Cricetulus griseus: one gene and its partners. The protein of the gene in region 3 interacts with the protein of the main gene of each other region in a pairwise test. Links are inferred from orthologs where the notes say so. Each region holds a gene or a part of one and is shown on either strand. Other genes may lie near its edges.

Region 1 (6,463 bases), on a different chromosome or scaffold from region 3:
GCTCTCCCTGCCTCTCTATGGGGATCAGCCGTGGAGGTCAGAGCCATTACCCCTGTTCCTCTTCTTAGTCTCCCTACTCTGCTGGGCCCATATATTAACTAGTCAACAAGTCTCATGTCTCAGCATTTCTCTTTCTTCTTTTTAAACAAAAGAATAACAATATATGCAGGCAAAACAATCATACACATACAATTACAATAAATAAATATAGGATTAAGTCGGGTGGTGGTGGCACACACCTGTAATCCCAGCACTCGGGAGGCAGAGGCAGTCGGATCTCTGTGAGTTCGAGGCCAGCCTGGTCTACAGAGCGAAAGTGCCAGGATAGGCTCCAAAGCTACACAGAAACTCTGTCTCAAAAAACAAACAAAAAAAGAAAAAGAAAAAGAAAAAGAAAGAAAGAAAGAAGGAAGGAAAGAGAGAGAGAAAGAGAGAAAGAAAGAAAGAAAGAAAGAAAGAAAGAAAGAAAGAAAGAAAGAAAATGATGACAATAAAAAACGACCCAGGCTGGGTTTGGCATTGAACAACTGTAATCCCAGCACCTGCGTGGTGGCTTGAAGGATCAGAAGCTCAAGGTCAAGTACGTATGAGGATAGAGTTCTAGGGCTGTAGAGGTAGTTCAGTGAGTAAAGGCACTTGCCACCAAGCCTGACGACCTGAGTTGGATCCTTAGCTCTCACGTGGTCGGACTCCCTCAAATTGTCCTCTGACCTCTACATGCCTGTTATGGTACACATAAACCCAATATAAACAAATACAATATTTTAAAAATAAGTAGGAAGTTCCTGAGCTATGGGAGAGACACTGACTCAGAAGCAAAATCAAAGAGATGGTTCCATGATTGAGAGCCCCTGTTGCTCTTGCACAGGGTCCAGGTTAGGTTCCCACATCCTACATGGTAACTCATAACTATCAATAACTCTAACCCCAGGGGATCTGATGCCTTCTCACTTCGGCTGGCACCAGGCATGTACATGGTGCACATACATACATTCCAATAAAATGCTCACATAAAACTTAAAAAAAAAAGCAAAACCAGGGGCTGGAGAGAGGGCTCAGCATTTAAAAGCACAGCATTACACACCTGTCTGTAACTCCAGTTCCAGGGCTTCTGAGACCCTCACACACACATGCAGGCAAAACACAAAAACACATACAATAATTAAAAAAAAAAAAAAAAAGCAAAACCACCTGGATGGCGATGGTGCCACAAGCCTTTAATCCCAGCACTTGGTAGGCAGAGGCAAGTGGATCTCTGAGGCCAGCTTGGTCTACAGAGTGAGTTCCAGGACAGCCAGGCAGTCAGGGCTACACAGAGAAACCGTGACTCAAAAAGCATAAAAAAAAAGAAAAAGAAAGAGAGAGAGAGAGGGAGGGAGGGAGGGAGAGAGAGAGAGAGAGAGAGAAAGAAAGAAAGAAAGAAAGAAAGAAAGAAAGAAAGAAAGAAAGAAAGAAAGAAAGACCACAGATTCAGAGTTTTGCGGTCTCAGTGCTGAGAGTTTGCTATGGACTTGCCTTGCTTTGGACTCTTTAGATCAGGTAAACTCTTTAGATCAGGTAAGTCCCATATTTATTTCTTAGAAGGTATTAGAGCCAGTTTAGAAACACTGATAGCAAGCCAGACAAGATGGTGAATGCCTAAATCCTAGCGCTTGAAGACTAAAACAGGAGGGTAGAGAATGCCAGGGTAGCTTAGGCTAAATACATAGCAAGAGCCTGTTTCAGGAAACAACCAAAAAAATGTCTGGAGACGTAGCTCAGAAGTAGAGTGAGTGCTTTGGCACTAGGTCGGCGCTGTGTTCCCTCCCCAACACCAAAAAAAAAAAAAAAAAAAAAAAAAGAAAAGAAAGAAACAAAGGGGGGAATTTTCTGGGGCTGGAGGGGCACACCTGTAACCCCAGCCAGAACTGAGGCGATGGGAGCAAGGGAATTAGAATTTCAAGGCCAGCACTGTCTACAACACGAGCCGGGAGCTTGCACACGACTGTCTCAAAACAAAACGAAACCTGAAAATGAGTCCTGGGGAACAGGAAGGAAGGCACCCCAGGCCAGATCGTGATAGGGCAAGCTCACCCGTCACTCTGAGACCATGTCACAAAATAAGTACAAACTGAAAAATCTTAGGGGCTATGTAGCTCAGTCCTACTACAGCGCTCAAGTCCAGTGCCCAAACCCAAAAGATAAATTTGAGTTTGTCCCGAGAGTTGCGCGGAGCGATGAAGAGTGAGCAGCAAGAGGCGGGCAACATGATTTCGAAACCATGGGGCAGCCTGGGATCCAGGAGCTCCCACCAAACGGGCAGCGGACCCCTCAAGATTAAGCACCGACTGCGCCTACAAAACGGCTGGGGAGCTGGGGGAGGCAGAGCGAAGCCTGCCAAGGGGCGGGGCTGCGGTCGTCCAGGTAACGCAAGCCGCAATACGCGATTGGCTGATATTTAGTGCGTCACTCCCTCCCCCCCTCCGCTTAGCCGGGGCGGGGGCGTGGCCTCCGCGGGTTTGCCCAGCCTGCAAAACCGCAAGGGAGGGAGGGAGGGGAGTGTGGTGTCACCCGGTGTGGCCCCGCACTGGGGTCTGGCCCGGGTGTGTAAGCGACCTGCGGAGAGACAGAGGAGCAAGAAACACAGCGGGGTGCAAAGAAGCCGTGCGCACGGCCGGCGCCACCCTCCGCCACCGTGCTGGCCCGCCCCGCCCCCTGTTAGTCGCCAGCTTAAACGGGACCCGGCCCTGGAGGGGGGCGGAGCCTAGCGCCCGTGGCTCCTCCTAGCCAATGGCGCCCCACGGCGGGCAGGGTTCCAACCAATCGTGGCTCGCTATGGCCTGCGGGGCGGAGCCGAGCGTCTCCCCGCCCCCGGCCCCCCGGCCCCCCTCCCACGGCCAGACCCGGAGGCCCCGGGGAAAGTGAGCCTGACTCCTGGCCAGCTCTGGTGGGACGCGGCGCCCAGCGCGGGGTTGCCGGAGGTTTGCAGTCGAGGCGACCGTGGCGACCGAGGTGATTGATCAGTGGCCGCCTGGGTGGGGTTTGCTGAAGTTGCAGGAGGGGGAGGAGGGGGAGGAGGAGGGGGCGCGCCCCGGGGTGGGGTGGGCGGAAGCGGGGTAGGGACCCGGGCGGATTGGTGTGGCTGAAGCCGGATCCCAGCATCAGCACCGGAGGGGAGGCAGGATGGAGCTGGAGGACCGAGGGGAACCGGAGGAGGAACTTTGGAGCGGGGCGACGGCTTGGGTGTCCCCGGGTGGGCAGAGTGCGGAGTGGCTCGGCGTTCTGGGGAGCGAGTGAGAGTTCCAGGGCTGCCGCCGCAACCCCTTAGATAGAGGAGCCCGGGAAGAACGCGGGGCACCCGGGGCTGGGCTTCCGAGACGCCCGTCTGAGAAGGGGATGATGCCTGGGGAGGAGTTCCGGCTCGGGGTCCTCCGACCTTGCAAAGTAAAGCCGGGGGGAAGTCATTTCAAAGTCGAGCCACGAACGGGGGGACGCTGGGGACGAGGTCTCAGAATCGAGGTCCCCGCTCTCCCCCGGCCGGACTACCGTAGTCAGTCGTTCACCTGCTCTGAACGATGCGATGCGGGACTCCGCACCCCGAGGACGCTCGAAGGAAGAATCCAGAAACTTCCTGGGGTGATAGGAACCCGGAGAAAGCCCTTTTCGGGTGGAAGGCGGGTGGGGGAGGGGCGTGGAGCTCAGATTCGCCGCCCCGAAGGCAGCAGAGGGCGGGGTTCGGCCGGTGCCCGGCGGCTGGGCGTCCGGGTCCCTTCCCCCCGCCACCAACCAGAGCTCCAATGAGCATGCTCTCGGGCAGGGCGGGTGTGTCCAGGCCCCCCCAGCGCGCAGCGCCTTCTGGGGATTGTAGTTCGAGAGTGACAGCAGCGGCTCTGCCTGTGGTCTCTGGGTCCACAGCTCCCAGAAGGCCCTGAGGACATATTGGGGTGTTCTTGGATCTGATCTAGAGATCCAGGGAAGGGCGGTGCCTATGAGAAAGGACTGTATGGAGGGCACAGCTTGGTGTTGGTTCAGTTCTATCCGGTTGAGGAATGCAAGTTTGGTAAATGCTCCCTCTCTTGTGAAAGCTCCTGGTCTTGGTGTCGGAAACGTATATGGACAGAAATATCCTTGTAAAAAGAAGAAAATCACACACACACACACACACACACACACACACACACACACACACACACACACACACACACACACACCCTCAGTTGGGCATGGGGTTGCACGTCCCAGCATTTGGAAAAGAAAGGCGGTAGGATATGAGTTCTAGGCCAACCTGACCTACAGGGGAGGTTCCAGGGCTACACAGAGAAACCTTGTCTGAAAAGAAACAAAAACAAAACAACAAATCTAAGGTCCAGAGATATGGCCATGCCTCTTGCCAAGATCACAGTTCAAACGCAGAGCTCAAATGTGCTTTCGGTCTGTGGCTCTGTACTCCATACTTGGCTGTCCTGTGACTTGTTAGGGAAAAAAAAAAAAAGATAATAAAAGTATTGCTGGAGAACAGTGCAAGATCCATTGAGATCAGAGTTAAGATCCTCACTTTGCAAATGCTGAAATTGCTCGTCAGAGTGTAATTTTAACATCGTGACTGCCGCAGGCTAATAAGTGATATTCAAGCCAAGTGATATTCAAGTGTTTGGTGATTTGTTTGGGGGCTTTTTGTTTTTCTGAGAGAGGGCCATCTGACCATGAGACTCTGCTTACCCTAAGATTGGATACGTGGACTAGGGTGGTCTTTATTTTTATTTATTTATTTTTTGACTAGGGTGGTCTTGAACTCACAAAACTCTACCTGCCTCTGCCTCCTGGTGATGAAATTAATGGCATGGGACAGCATTGGCAATTTTTTTTCTGTTTATTTTTATGTTTTTAATTTTAGGTGTATGAGTATTTTACTTGCATGTATGTATAGACACCACTTGTGGCAGATCCCCTAAAGTGGAGGCATAGGTCCTCTAAAACTGGAGTTTTAGACAGCTCAGAACCATCACGTTGGTGCTAGAAATCAAACTCAGGTCCTCCGGAAGAGCAGCTGGTGTTCTTAACCACTCAGCCATACCTTTTATATTTGAGATGCTATCTAGCCAAGGATGACCTTGAACTCCTGAACTTTTCTGCCTCCTAAATGCTCTTACACACACACACACACACACACTCACGCACGCACGCACGCACGCACGCACGCACACACACACACACACACATTCTCTTTCTCACTGATCACTCTGTGCTACCCTACTTGCATCTTGTTTTAATATACATTGTTGTTTTGCCTGCATGTATGTCTGTGTCTGAAGGTGTCAGATAGATCTTGGAGTTACAGAGAGTTGTGAGCTGCCCTGTGGGTGCTGGGAATTGAACCCGAGTGCTCTGGAAGGGCAGTCGGTGCTCTTAACCACTGAGCCGTCTCTCCAGCCCTGAATCTTGTTCTTTTAATCAAATAGCATACATTTATTCACCATTCTTAGCCTTGTAGGAGTCTGACTATATGCACTTTTAAGTAGAGGTTCTGATCAAAGGAACCAACCAACCCTCCCGTAACTATACAGTCTTGCTTGAAAAAGTGGGATCCAAAGGTATCCAAAGGCATGGCTGTCTCATGCCTTTAATTCCAGTACTGTGAGGGCTGGGTGGATCTCTGAATTCGAGGCCAGCCTGGTCTTACAGATTGAGTTCCAGGACTGCCATGGCACAGAAAACAAACTGTCTTAAACAAACAAAAAAGCAAGCAAACAAAAAAAGCAAATGTGTCTGATGTGACTCTTTTCCACAGGACATGGGAGGCTTAAAGAGGAAACATTCTGATTTGGAAGAGGAGGAGGAGGAGGAGGATGAGAACTGGGCCTGGAGTCCAGCTGGTCTTCGAAGCTACCAGCAAGCCCTGCTCCGAATCTCTCTGGACAAAGTCCAGCGCAGCCTGGGCCCCAGAGCACCCAGCCTCCGCAGGCATGTCCTTATCCACAACACACTCCAGCAGCTCCAGGCTGCCATTCGCCTGGCTCCAGCTCCAGCCCTGCCCCCAGAGCCTCTCTTCCTGGGTGAAGAAGATTTCTCCCTGTCTACCACCATTGGCTCTATCCTCAGGGAGCTGGATACATCCATGGGTGAGATGGCATCCCCTCCGAATCCAGTGGCTCCCCCAAGTCCCCCGAATGAAACGATGCCCCAGGCTGATCCTGTGTTTTTAGAAGCTCTGAGCTCCCGGTACTTGGGAGATTCTGGCCTGGATGACTTCTTTCTGGACATTGACACATCTGCGGTGGAAAAGGACTCTTCACTCCCGCCCCCAGAGCCTCCTCGAAGCCTCTTCTGTGCTCCAGGATCCTGGGAGTGGAATGAATTGGACCACATCATGGAAATTATCCTAGGATCCTAAGACTCATGGGGGGGTCCTTCCTGGCATCAGGCTCTTTGAGCTGGGTCCTTGGATGTGACCCTTGTATGTGTGTTTAGCCGAGGCTCTCAGCAG
Region 2 (6,300 bases), on a different chromosome or scaffold from region 3:
TGGTGATGTTTTGTTTATGATCTAACAAGTAAATATTATTTCCTTTCTCGGTTCTCTGAGGGAGTTGAAGACCAGATAGTTATAGTCGTCTTCCTTGTTTACCAGACTCAGAAAAGAAACTCACTAAAGAAATGTAAAGTGTAAAAGGCTGAGAGATATTAAAAGATAGTTTGATAGTGCAAATTAGAATAGAAAGTGAATTAGATACAACCTTTGGAACTCACCAAGGTAGGATAGATAATGGAGTATTTTCTCTGAAATTGCCTATATTTATTGTATATAGTTTTTCTTATATTGGTTATAACCTTTCTTGTATTAGACAAAAGGGGGAATTATGGTGATATTTTGTTTATGATCTAACAAATAAAGCTTGCCTGAAGATCAGAAAAGCAAAGCTGCCAACCACTAGAGAGTTGTACCTCTACCAACCAGTTGATCCTGTCCTCAGCATGACTGTAGACTGAATACACTGTATTCCTGTCTTGTCTCCACCAGCCTTATATTCCTCTCTAGGACTAGGATTAAAGGCTTGCACTACCATCGCCCAACCTCTATGGCTAACTAGTGTGGCTGCTGTGATTGTGATTAAAGGTATGTGCCACCACTGCCTGGCCTGTATGGTTGACTAGTGTGGTCAGCTTTGCACTCTGATCTTCAGGCAAGCTTTATGTGCTACATCATAAACAAAATGCCACCACAAGGCTAAATTCGTTTTACTTGGTAAATATATTCTAGCAAAGGTTCAACATCTAACATTCACTAAATACTGTGTATGCACACAAGACTGCAGGTGGGTTCAGTCAGAGTATGAAGGTCAGCACTTTTACTCACTGAACCCTCCATATCCAGTCCTTAAACATTTAAAAATGTTAGCCATACCACTCTTACCTCTTCTATTTCAAAATGACCTTGTTTTCAGTCAGCTGGCTTAGTCCTCTTGTCCTATACAAGAGGATACTTGAATTGACTAGTTTAAAGAACAGCATGGTTTCTCGTGGTCCTGGTGGCCAGGAAGTCCAAGATGAAGGCATGGGTGTCTGGTGATGGCTTTCTTGTTTGTTCATATAGCTGACATTGAAAAGCAAGAGAGAGCAACACCCTCTGTCCAACCTATTTAGAGGGGGCATAATGTCATTAACAAGGGATAAGCTTTTAGGTTCCACCAACTTTTAAATGCCCTACCTCAAGATTCTGTCTCATTGGCTACATCTGAATTTTGCAGGGTTTTGTGGAAAGCAAAGCGATTCTAATGCACCTGCTGCTGCTGCTGCTATTACTGGGGGGAAAAATCCAACAAGTGATCTCCAAACTTTAGTTTCCTGTCAACACTAATTTATGACTTAGTCTATTATCAAATAAATCTTACTTGATTAATAACTTTAATTATTTTTAATTTGTGTGGTTAAAAATCTTAATTACTCGGGCTGGAGAGATGGCTCAGAGGTTAAGAGCACCGACTGCTCTTCCAGAGGTCCTGAGTTCAATTCCCAGCAACCACATGGTGGCTCACAACCATCAGTAATGAGATCTGGTGCCCTCTTCTGGTGTGCAGATATACATGGAAGCAGAATGTTGTGTACATAATAAATAAATAAAATCTTTAAAAAAAATCTTAATTACTCGAGCTTAGATTATTCATTTATCTATTTATTTATGGCTTTTTGAGACAGGGTTTCTCTGTGTAACAACCCTGGATATCCTGGAACTGGAGATACAGTCTTAATATGTAGCCCTGCTCTCCAAGAACTTGTGCAGCCCAGACTGCACTCAAACTTAGAGAGATTCATCTGCTTCCTCTGGGTCTTGGGATTAAAGATGTGGGGCACCAGGACTGACTATTTCTATTTTCAGAGATCTTTCAAAGTATGCTTTGCACCATTGCTGAATGGAAAAGGAATAATTCCCGAACTGAAATTGATTTGAAATCATCTTTTAGGTGATTGACTGAACAATTTCACCTTTACTCCAATAAGGATTAGTTTGCCTTTGATATTACTTTTTATGATTTATGAAAAACATTTAAGTTATAATAAATAAATTCCACAAGGAAAATATTAACCATTATGTATTACCTGAGTGGCCAGCAACTATTGGAGATGAAAAGGTTTTAGTTGGGCGGTGGATCATAACTTTAATCCCAGCATTCGGGAGTTTGAGGCAGGCAGGTTTCTGAGTTTGAGGCCAGCCTGATCTACAGAGAGAGCTTTCCTGTCTTGAAAAAACATAAGCAAAACAAAACAAGCAAAAGGTTTGAACTTTTCTCCCCTCCCTCTCTCTCTCCCCCACTTTCTTTCCTCTCTCCAACTGCTCCTGTCTCTGGAGGCTGGTCTCTCCCCTTCCCTTTTCGTTTTTTAAGATCCCTATCCCTAATAAAAATCCCCTCTGCTTGAACCCTGTCGCATGGCGTCTTTCTCTCGTGCACTGCTTTTCTTAAATTACAACAGAAGGAAAGGGAGCCTTAGCCATAATTCCGGTCTATTGTGTGCCAGCCACCACGCTAGGTAGTGTAGCTGGTAGAATATGTATTCACAAACGCCCCGTGCATTCAACGCTCAAAGCTCTGAAAGACTGATGGGTTTGGAAGACTTTCTGAATCCCCTAATACTATGAAGCCTTCATTGTTTCAGTCCGTGTTTCAATTCTAAGACCGTCGGGGCAAACAAACCTAGTGGGAAACTAGCTGACCACCAGGAGCCTGGGTTCACTGGGCGGGACTAGACTCCAGGACCGCTTCCGACTGCGCCTGCGCAAACGCGGCCGTCCCTTGCACGGCGTCTGCGCACTGAGGCAACTGCGCATGTGTCAGTGGTGAGTGGCGGGCGCGCAGTGGGGCGACAGAGACCTAAGGGCTTTAGGTGGGCTTCGGCGATTCCGGGTGGATTCCGTGGCGGCGGCGTGCGTTCAGTGGTGACTTCGGCGGGGCTTGCTGTCCACGGGGCGGGGCTCGCTGTCCACGGGGCGGGGCTCGCTGCCCACGGGGCGGGGCTCGCTGCCCACGGGGCGGGGCTTGCCTCCACGGAATCGGGCTCGCTGCCCACGGGGCAGGGCTCGCTGTCCACGGGGCGGGGCTTGCGGTTCACGCCGACCTCGGCTCTGTGGGGTCCCTGGACTTGGGCATCTTGACCCGGAAACAGGCCCTAGCATCCCGCAGGTGGTTAGGTCGGAATGGTGCTCCAACCGGAAGCGGAAGACTGCCGGGAAGGGGGCACGTGCTGGAAACAGGCCGGGGCTGCCTGGGCGGTCCCCTAACCTACCATGTTGTGTGTTCATGGCCTGCTTGCTTTCTCCGTGGAAGTTTTATCTCAGGTTGTGGTGGGGGTTTATTTTTGAGATGGTCTCTGTGTAGCCCAGGCTGACCTCGAACTCATGATTCTCTTGCTTCAATAGTGCTGTCCTCAGACCCGCATCACCACACCCAACCATCTTTCTTTGAAGTGGAGTGCTGCCCTCTGAACTATAGAAAGTTCAGCATCATAGCTGGCCGTCATCTATGGGTTACCAGCAATGCCCTTGGGTATGACGACCAAAAATGTTTCCACATGTTTGCAAACGTTTCTCTTAGGAGACGAGTGATTCCTGGCTTTTCCCATTAGAATACTGATTTGGAATACCAGCCAGGAACGTCTCCAGGTCAGTTTAATGATAACACTTCCACGCCCCCTTTCGAGCCTGAAAATCTCTTCAACAGAACTTCACAAATCCACTTATATATTATAAAAACAATATAAAACAGCCATATGGGGTAGCCCATACTTGTAATCTCAGGAATCTGAGGCAGCAGGGTCATGAGTTACAGGCTAGCCTAAGCTACATAGTGAGTTCCAGGACAGTCTGGGCTGTATAATGAGACCCAGTCTTCTGTATTTCTTCCCCTGCCCACCCCCCGCAAAAAAAGGTTAGTAACTTATGTTTTCCACCACTACCTTAGTAAATAAACACCCAGACATACAAAAATAAAGTTTATGCTTACTATCAGCAAATGTTTGATTTGTTTATTTTATATGCCTATATGTGAGGGATAACAAAAAGTTTCTTATGAGAAAGGATCATGAGTTTAAGGAGACTTTTATATTTTGCTGTATGACTACTTGATAAATTTGTACTTCCTAAGGTAGTGGTGGAAGTGACGTGTAGTTTGCAGCCATGCTTCATTGCGGGTGAGCACTGCCAAAAGCAACAGCCTCCTGTGTGCTGGGAGTTTTCAATGAACTGTTGGTTGTGCATGTTTAAGTAACTTTTTACGGATGCTAACACCCCTCATACACATTTAGTTTTGAAACCTCATATATGAGGGCATAGCTTTCAGTTTAAGAAGTTAAAGAACATCTAGGCTATGTACTCATAAGTTTTTCAAGGTTTTGGGCACTAGGTAACACAGTGTTCCCTCCGTGGGCATCAGGCATTCATGTGGTGCACACACATACATGGAGGCAAATACACAATAAAAATAAAAGGGATTGGATTTATTAAGTATAATTATGAAGTAGCCTGCTGTTTGTAGAGATGAAAACTTCCATATCAAAGATGAGAATTACTGAGATGGTTCAGTGGTAAAGTTTCTTGTGGACAATCCTGTTGCCCTGAGTTTGATACCTAGAACCCACGTGGCCAAGGTTTTTTGTTTTGTTTTGTTTTGTTTTGTTTTGTTTTTTCTTCAAGACTTGCTGAAAAACTAGAGACCCCTCAGATACAAGAACCGCAACAAGGCAGAAATAGAAAGAGACCACTGGGAAAGAAAGACAAAAGAATACAAGTGAGAGCTTTCTCTTTTTGTTGTTGTTTTGTTTGTTTGTTTGTTTGTTTTTGTTTTTCGAGACAGGATTTCTCTGTGTAGCTTTGGAGTCTATCCTGGCAGTCACTCTGGAGACCAGGCTGGCTTCGAACTCACAGAGATCCATCCGCCTGCCTCTGCCTCCCGAGTGCTGGGATTAAAGGCGTGCGTCACCAATACCCATCGAGAGCTTTCATTAGCGTTTATTGTGTGTGCAGGTTACACAGGTGTGGCACAAGGTTCATATGGAGATCAAAGTCTTACTATTTTTTTTTTTAAGACAGTGTTTCTCTATAACTTGGCTAGTTGGAGCTAGCTATGTAGACCAGGCCAAAGTCAGAGATCCACCTGCCTCTGCCTCCCAGGTGCTGGGATTAATAAAGGTGTGCACCCCCAAGCCTGACTATCCTACTTTATTTCAGTGTTTCTCTCATTTTTGCTGCATCCTTCTCCTCTCTCTCTCTCTCTCTCTCTCTCTCTCTCTCTCTCTCTCTCTCTCTCTCCCTGGGTTTGGGCTATCATATGCAAGCCACCTCATCTGTATGTTTGTTTTAGATTTTATTTGTTTGTATTTTATGTGTATGAGTATTTGCCTTAATGTATGTCCATGCACCACATGTGTGCCTGATGCCAGTAAAGACCGGAAGCAGGCATCAGGTCCCCTGGGACTGGAGTTATTGACTTGTAAGCTGCCATGTAGTTGCTCAACATAGAACCAGGTCCTCTGGAAGAGCGGCCAGTGTTTGGCTGCTGAACCATCTCTAGCACCATGTCTGTGTGTTTTTACAGGGAATCCAAAGATTGACCTCGGGTTATCAGGGATGCATAGTCATTTCACCTGCTAAGCCATCCCACCAGTCCTAGAAAGTTTTAAATATGTATGCTTTCTGTATAAAATTCACCTCTTGACAGGCTGTGGTGGCACACACCATTAATCCCAGCACTTGGGAGGCAGAGGCCAGTGGATCTCTGAGGCCAGCCTCATCTGTAGATCGAGTTCCGGGACTGCCAGGAATACACAGAGAAACCCTGTTTCAGTGGGGGGAAAAATTCACTTCTGTTTGGGTTATTGTCTTGAGTTTAATTTTTCTCATTATTATTTGGTGGGCAGAAGAAACAAGGCCGTGCAACATATATTCTTGCTCTGCAGGTTGTAGAGGATTTGTGAAATGAGTGATTCAGAAGATGATGATATACCCCAGCTTTCTTCCCACGCCTTAGCAGCTCTCCAGGAATTTTATGCTGAGCAGAAGCAGTCCACCATCCCAGGAAGGGATGATAAATACAATGTTGGGGTAATAGAGGAGAACTGGGTAAGTCCATGCGACCATGTTGGAGAAATAGCGGTGTGGCACTTACCATTGCCTAGTTACTGTTTTATCTGTCCTTCCCTCTACTACCTATCATTCAGAAACTGAGGACGCTATAGGGAGCAAGAGCAGGAAGCAGACATCGGACAGATGTCCTGGGACAGTACGTGCACATTTTCCTGGCTCTGACTGGTAGGCTGGCTGGTGACTGAAGGACGG
Region 3 (4,843 bases):
CTAACACTATCACAAAATATTGCCTTCAGACATGCATGTAAAGTGAATAAAAAACAAACCAATATCATGTTTGGACTTGATTTCATAACACATTGTTCTCTGTATACAAATATTCTGAAATCTGAAAACTCAGAAACACTTCTTGTCATAAATATTTTGGGTAGATAATATCCATCCTGTCTAAATAAACACACTGGGGAAACCTAGAAATGCCAACACAATGTCTTAAATATGTTTCTGTTTCAAGTGAAAATATTAAGTCTCAATAGAGAATGTTTAAGATGTTTTAAACTTAAGGAAATCAAGGAAAGGCTCCATTATTTCAGAGCAAGAAGGATGACCAAATCTAAGGACTTCTAATTGGGGCCTTCAACAATGGACATTGTAATTCGGATAGGTTGAGGGATTGTTAGCTTCAGATTTTCTCCTCTCAATCCTTTTAATTATACTCTGGAAATCGTCACCAATAGGATTCACCTCATTTATGAAAGACTGTTATACTTTATTAATAGAAACTTCACTTAAAATATATTGGCAAGTATTTAGCTGTGCTCCCAACATGGAACTAGTCTTTAGCAGAGTTGAATATTTTCTATAAACTCAGAGGATGTAGCAATAATAATTAAAGGAAGAATGGCACTGTGGAAACATGAAAATACACTATCATAAAATTTCTCTAATATCTTAAGGAGAAATATAAATGAAATCAAAGTGACCCAATAAATGTGGAAAGCTGAAATCTATAGATATTAAAACAATTGTAAATCAACTAGCTAAACATCCAGTTATGGATGAATGCATAAAATGTTATATATACATATATACGCATATATGAGTATAATTGTACATACAAGTATATTCATGTATGTGTTAACACATATATATGTATATATACATAATATGTATATATACTGTTCTCATAACTAATTTGATGTCTCATGTACAATATAATATTGTTTATTACTTGTGACAGCATGTATGAACTTGATGGAATTGTGTGAAGTGAAAAGGGCTATATATAGACAAAGCTTCCTGATCTCCAACATTTGTGGAAATGAGGGAGACATGACATCAAATAAGTAGAGAGTAGAAAATTGATTACCAAAGGCTGTGAAAGGAACATGGAGGATAAAGATTGCCTTCTGAAACAAGAACATAGTTAGGAACAATATTCTGTAGTGTACTATAACAAAGTGCAGTGGGTGTACTCAGCTATACATGTTTAAGGAGATAGAAAAAGGAATTTTAAATATCCCTAAAGGTTAAAGTGATATATGTGTTAATTATGCAAGTTTGCTTACTGCATATTGTGCTTGTGTATAAAGACAAACTCTTATTTGTGTCAATTATATGTGTATATTGTGTAAGTGTATGCAAATTTATGAGAAGGGTGTTGTGTATCCTGCTCTATTGTTCTCTACCCTATTCCTTTGAGACAGGATCTCTCACTGAACCTAAACTTGGGCTGGTTTCTGGCAAATGCCTGTAATTCTCCTAATTGTACCTCTCAGAGCAGGGTTTACAAACACAGACTATGCCATTACATTTTTTGTGAGTCTTAGGGATTTGAACTAGGGTTCTCACACTTGCACTACAAATGCTCTTACCCATGGACTGAGCCAATTCCCATCCCAATAAAAAAATGTTTAAACACACACCAATTATGCTATATAATTTTATTACTTCCAAAACATTCAAATTCCACTTGGGCTGATTTCCAGTGTCTGTAATGACACTTTATATTCTTCCGTATTGGATCTGGACTCAGGTTTGGTAAAGATTTGCTCTATTAATTTTTCAACATTCCAATCTTAAACATCACATTATCTTCACAATGCTCGCACTTCCAAAAAAAAAAAAAAAAATCAAAAACTCATTACTGTCTCACTCTTTTGTAGAAAGTCCAAGCTCTCTAGCCAGTCTACCCCCTTTCACACAAAAACTCAAAGGTGCTCTAACTTGACTTCACCATCTCAGCTGCATCTTTCTACTTAAACTTGCTCCTTCCCCATCACCATCTCTTTCTAGCTCACCCAGGAGACCTGGAGATCTTTCCCATTAGTTTAGTGGTACCCTCCCTCAGACCCCAGTGGTTGGGCTTTGCATCTCAGCTCCTATCCAGCCCTACCACCCTTCTGGCTTGCCAACACGCATGCGCAGTGTCAAGTCCGCCCCGCCCGGCCGCTGCTGCGGAAGGCACAGCTCTCAGTAAAGCGCACTTCCTCTGCTGGTGTCCACTGAGGGAGTGCTGGTTCCAAGAGCTCCAAGTCGCAGCGGTCCTGCTCTGATCAGAAGGCGCAGACATGTCGGAACAAAGTAAGGACTTGAGCGACCCTAACTTTGCACCTGATGCCGCCAACTCCGAGGTGCAGGAGAGCTCTGAGATTCCGGTGGGGGTCCCTCCTCCCACATCTCCAGCCGCGATCGTCGCAGAGGCACCAGAAGCTCCTGAAGGCCCTATGGCAGCCCGGCAGGCCTCGCCGCCGCCTCCAGAAAGGTTAGAAGATATTGACCCTAAGATTCTGGAGCAGGCCATAGAGGAGGGCCGCGCCCACAATCCCGATAGCCCGGTCCGTCAGCTGCCAACACCACCCGCCCCGGCCCAGGTGGTGCAGAAGGCGCACGAGCTCATGTGGTACGTGTTGGTCAAGGACCAGAAGAGGATGGTCCTCTGGTTCCCAGACATGGTGAAAGATGTCATGGGCAGCTACAAGAAATGGTGCAGAAGCATCCTCCGGCGCACCAGCCTCATCCTTGCCAGAGTTTTTGGGCTGCACCTGAGGCTGACCAATATCCACACGATGGAGTTCGCCCTGGTCAAAGCCCTCAGCCCAGCAGAACTGGACAGAGTGGCGCTGAACAACCGTATGCCCATGACAGGCCTCCTGCTCATGATCCTGAGCCTCATCTACGTGAAGGGCCGCGGGGCCAGAGAGGGAGCCGTCTGGAATGTGCTGCACATCCTGGGACTGAGGCCCTGGAAGAAGCACTCCACCTTCGGAGACGTGAGGAAGATTATCACCGAGGAGTTCGTCCAGCAGAATTACCTGAAGTACCAGCTTGTTCCCCACAGCGATCCTCCTGAGTACGAGTTCTTCTGGGGGTCCAGAGCCAACCGTGAAATCACCAAGATGCAGATTATGGAGTTCCTGGCCAGGGTCTTTAAGAAAGATCCCCAGGCTTGGCCCTCCCGCTACCGAGAGGCTCTGGAGCAGGCCAGAGCTCTGCGGGAGGCTAATCTTGCTGCCCACTGCCCCCGCAGCAGTGTCTCTGGTGATTAGGAAGGTCCCCAGCATGTTGATAATTTCTGACCCATACTTGGGCTGTATAAGGGTGGGGTTGGGTCATTAGAGTATTCCACATTCACAGTGCAGTATTTCATGTGTAACCTTTAAGTTTTCCTTACAGTGCTTTTGTACCTTTCAATGCAATATATTCATTTGTGTTCGCTTGGAGCGTGTTAAGGATTTATGCATGTGCGTTTACAAGTAAGCAAGTGGATGCTTTCACTTCTGTGCTTTTTTGTACAAGAGATGTGCTGTGCTGAACCTGTGAAATCCATTGAGATGTTGTGTATCTATTCTTTGTATGAAAGTGATGATCTGTATCAACATAAAAGCCCAGGAGAGTTAGGAGGTGAGCAAAGCAGGCCTGACCAGAGAAAGGTCAAGGGCCCTCTTATATGAACTCAACTGGCACAGGAAGCATCCCTGTGGAATGGACTGATTTGAACTGGAATGTTCTCAGTGTAGGCACTTAGCACACCCTACCAAACATGTATACAACCCCACCATAAATAAACTTTGAAGTGAGCATTAAAGATCCTTGTGGAATAATTTCTTTGGGGGGGTATTTATTTTGTGGGAAGGGGGGTTGGGATGGGAGGGAATGAGGAAGATCTGCCCATGCACAGCATGCACAAACATGGTGTTCAACTAAAAGAGTGGAAAACCATTACCCAAGACCACTCAGGGTTACAGCTTTATTTTTCTATTTAATCAAACTGGTGACACTTCAAAGACTTTGACATTTAAGGGGTGTAATAATCAAAGAAAAGTATCTTATCACATCACATGGGGATAATTAATAACAGGTATTATGAAGTGACTTGCCCCTTCCCTGTTTTTTTTTTTTTTTTTTTTTGACGTTTTTGGTGGGCACTTAACAGAATGAAACATCGTTACCAAATCCTTTATGAGCACCTTATCCTTTATTTTATCCTCCCCCTATCCATAAGAGGTAGGAGGTTACTGAGTCAGCATGGAGGAAGAAATATGTAAAGAGTGTGGGTAATAAACTGTCCTAAAAATCATACAGGTTATATGCTGGAGCCTTGACTCTTAGCTCACCCACGGCCACCACACATATGAGCACCCTTTGCCTCCCTGCTGCATACACTAAGGATTTGATTTTTTTTAATTAATTCCAAAATCTTTTACAGGAAAACAGGCTTCTGGGTGTATAAATTCGGGAACTCAGTTCCAGAAAGAATTGTCAACCTAATCAAGTCCCTAACATGCTTCCGGGTGAAGACAAGATTTGAAACATGATCTTTCCAGAGGGATGAAGATGAGGGAAGCTTTTCTGAGAGTGGTATCAGTAAGAGTCATGACATTTATGGAATAGGGGAGTAGCTGGGTTTAAGAAGTTGCCTCCAGCCACACAGCTACATTTGTGTCTCAGGATTCTGTCGGTTACAGCAAACAGTGGGTGATGAGAGGGTGGCTGGGATGACAGTCACAGTAAGCAGCAATAATTGGGGAGAGATCATTAGGAAGCTTTTGGTCTGAGGAGAAAGAGGGAGAGAAGGGGCTTTAATGAGATTAGACACCCTTTAGAGGCC

Evidence for each region. The genes of interacting proteins can lie anywhere in the genome.
Region 1: the proteins of Ndn (region 3) and Sertad3 interact in a two-hybrid assay, tested with the Homo sapiens proteins (2 studies listed by BioGRID and IntAct). The link is inferred for Cricetulus griseus from reciprocal best matches to the Homo sapiens genes NDN and SERTAD3.
Region 2: the proteins of Ndn (region 3) and Eef1akmt1 interact in a two-hybrid assay, tested with the Homo sapiens proteins (2 studies listed by BioGRID and IntAct). The link is inferred for Cricetulus griseus from reciprocal best matches to the Homo sapiens genes NDN and EEF1AKMT1.

The regions. Positions count from the first base shown.
Region 1 is NC_048602.1:8,446,784-8,453,246, reverse strand, and holds the start of Sertad3 (SERTA domain-containing protein 3), read left to right. Parts: upstream 1-2,849; 5' UTR 2,850-2,991; intron 2,992-3,113; exon of another isoform or gene 3,114-3,232; intron 3,233-5,767; 5' UTR 5,768-5,770; coding exon 5,771-6,370; 3' UTR 6,371-6,463.
Region 2 is NW_023276807.1:212,637,556-212,643,855, reverse strand, and holds the start of Eef1akmt1 (EEF1A lysine methyltransferase 1), read left to right. Parts: upstream 1-2,686; 5' UTR 2,687-2,808; exon of another isoform or gene 2,809-2,895; intron 2,896-3,171; exon of another isoform or gene 3,172-3,306; intron 3,307-3,331; exon of another isoform or gene 3,332-3,630; intron 3,631-3,653; exon of another isoform or gene 3,654-3,895; intron 3,896-4,659; 5' UTR 4,660-4,753; intron 4,754-5,921; 5' UTR 5,922-5,940; coding exon 5,941-6,084; intron 6,085-6,300. UniProt on the Homo sapiens protein: Protein N-lysine methyltransferase that selectively catalyzes the trimethylation of EEF1A at 'Lys-79'.
Region 3 is NC_048596.1:135,133,327-135,138,169, reverse strand, and holds Ndn (necdin), read left to right. Parts: upstream 1-2,303; coding exon 2,304-3,281; downstream 3,282-4,843. UniProt on the Homo sapiens protein: Growth suppressor that facilitates the entry of the cell into cell cycle arrest.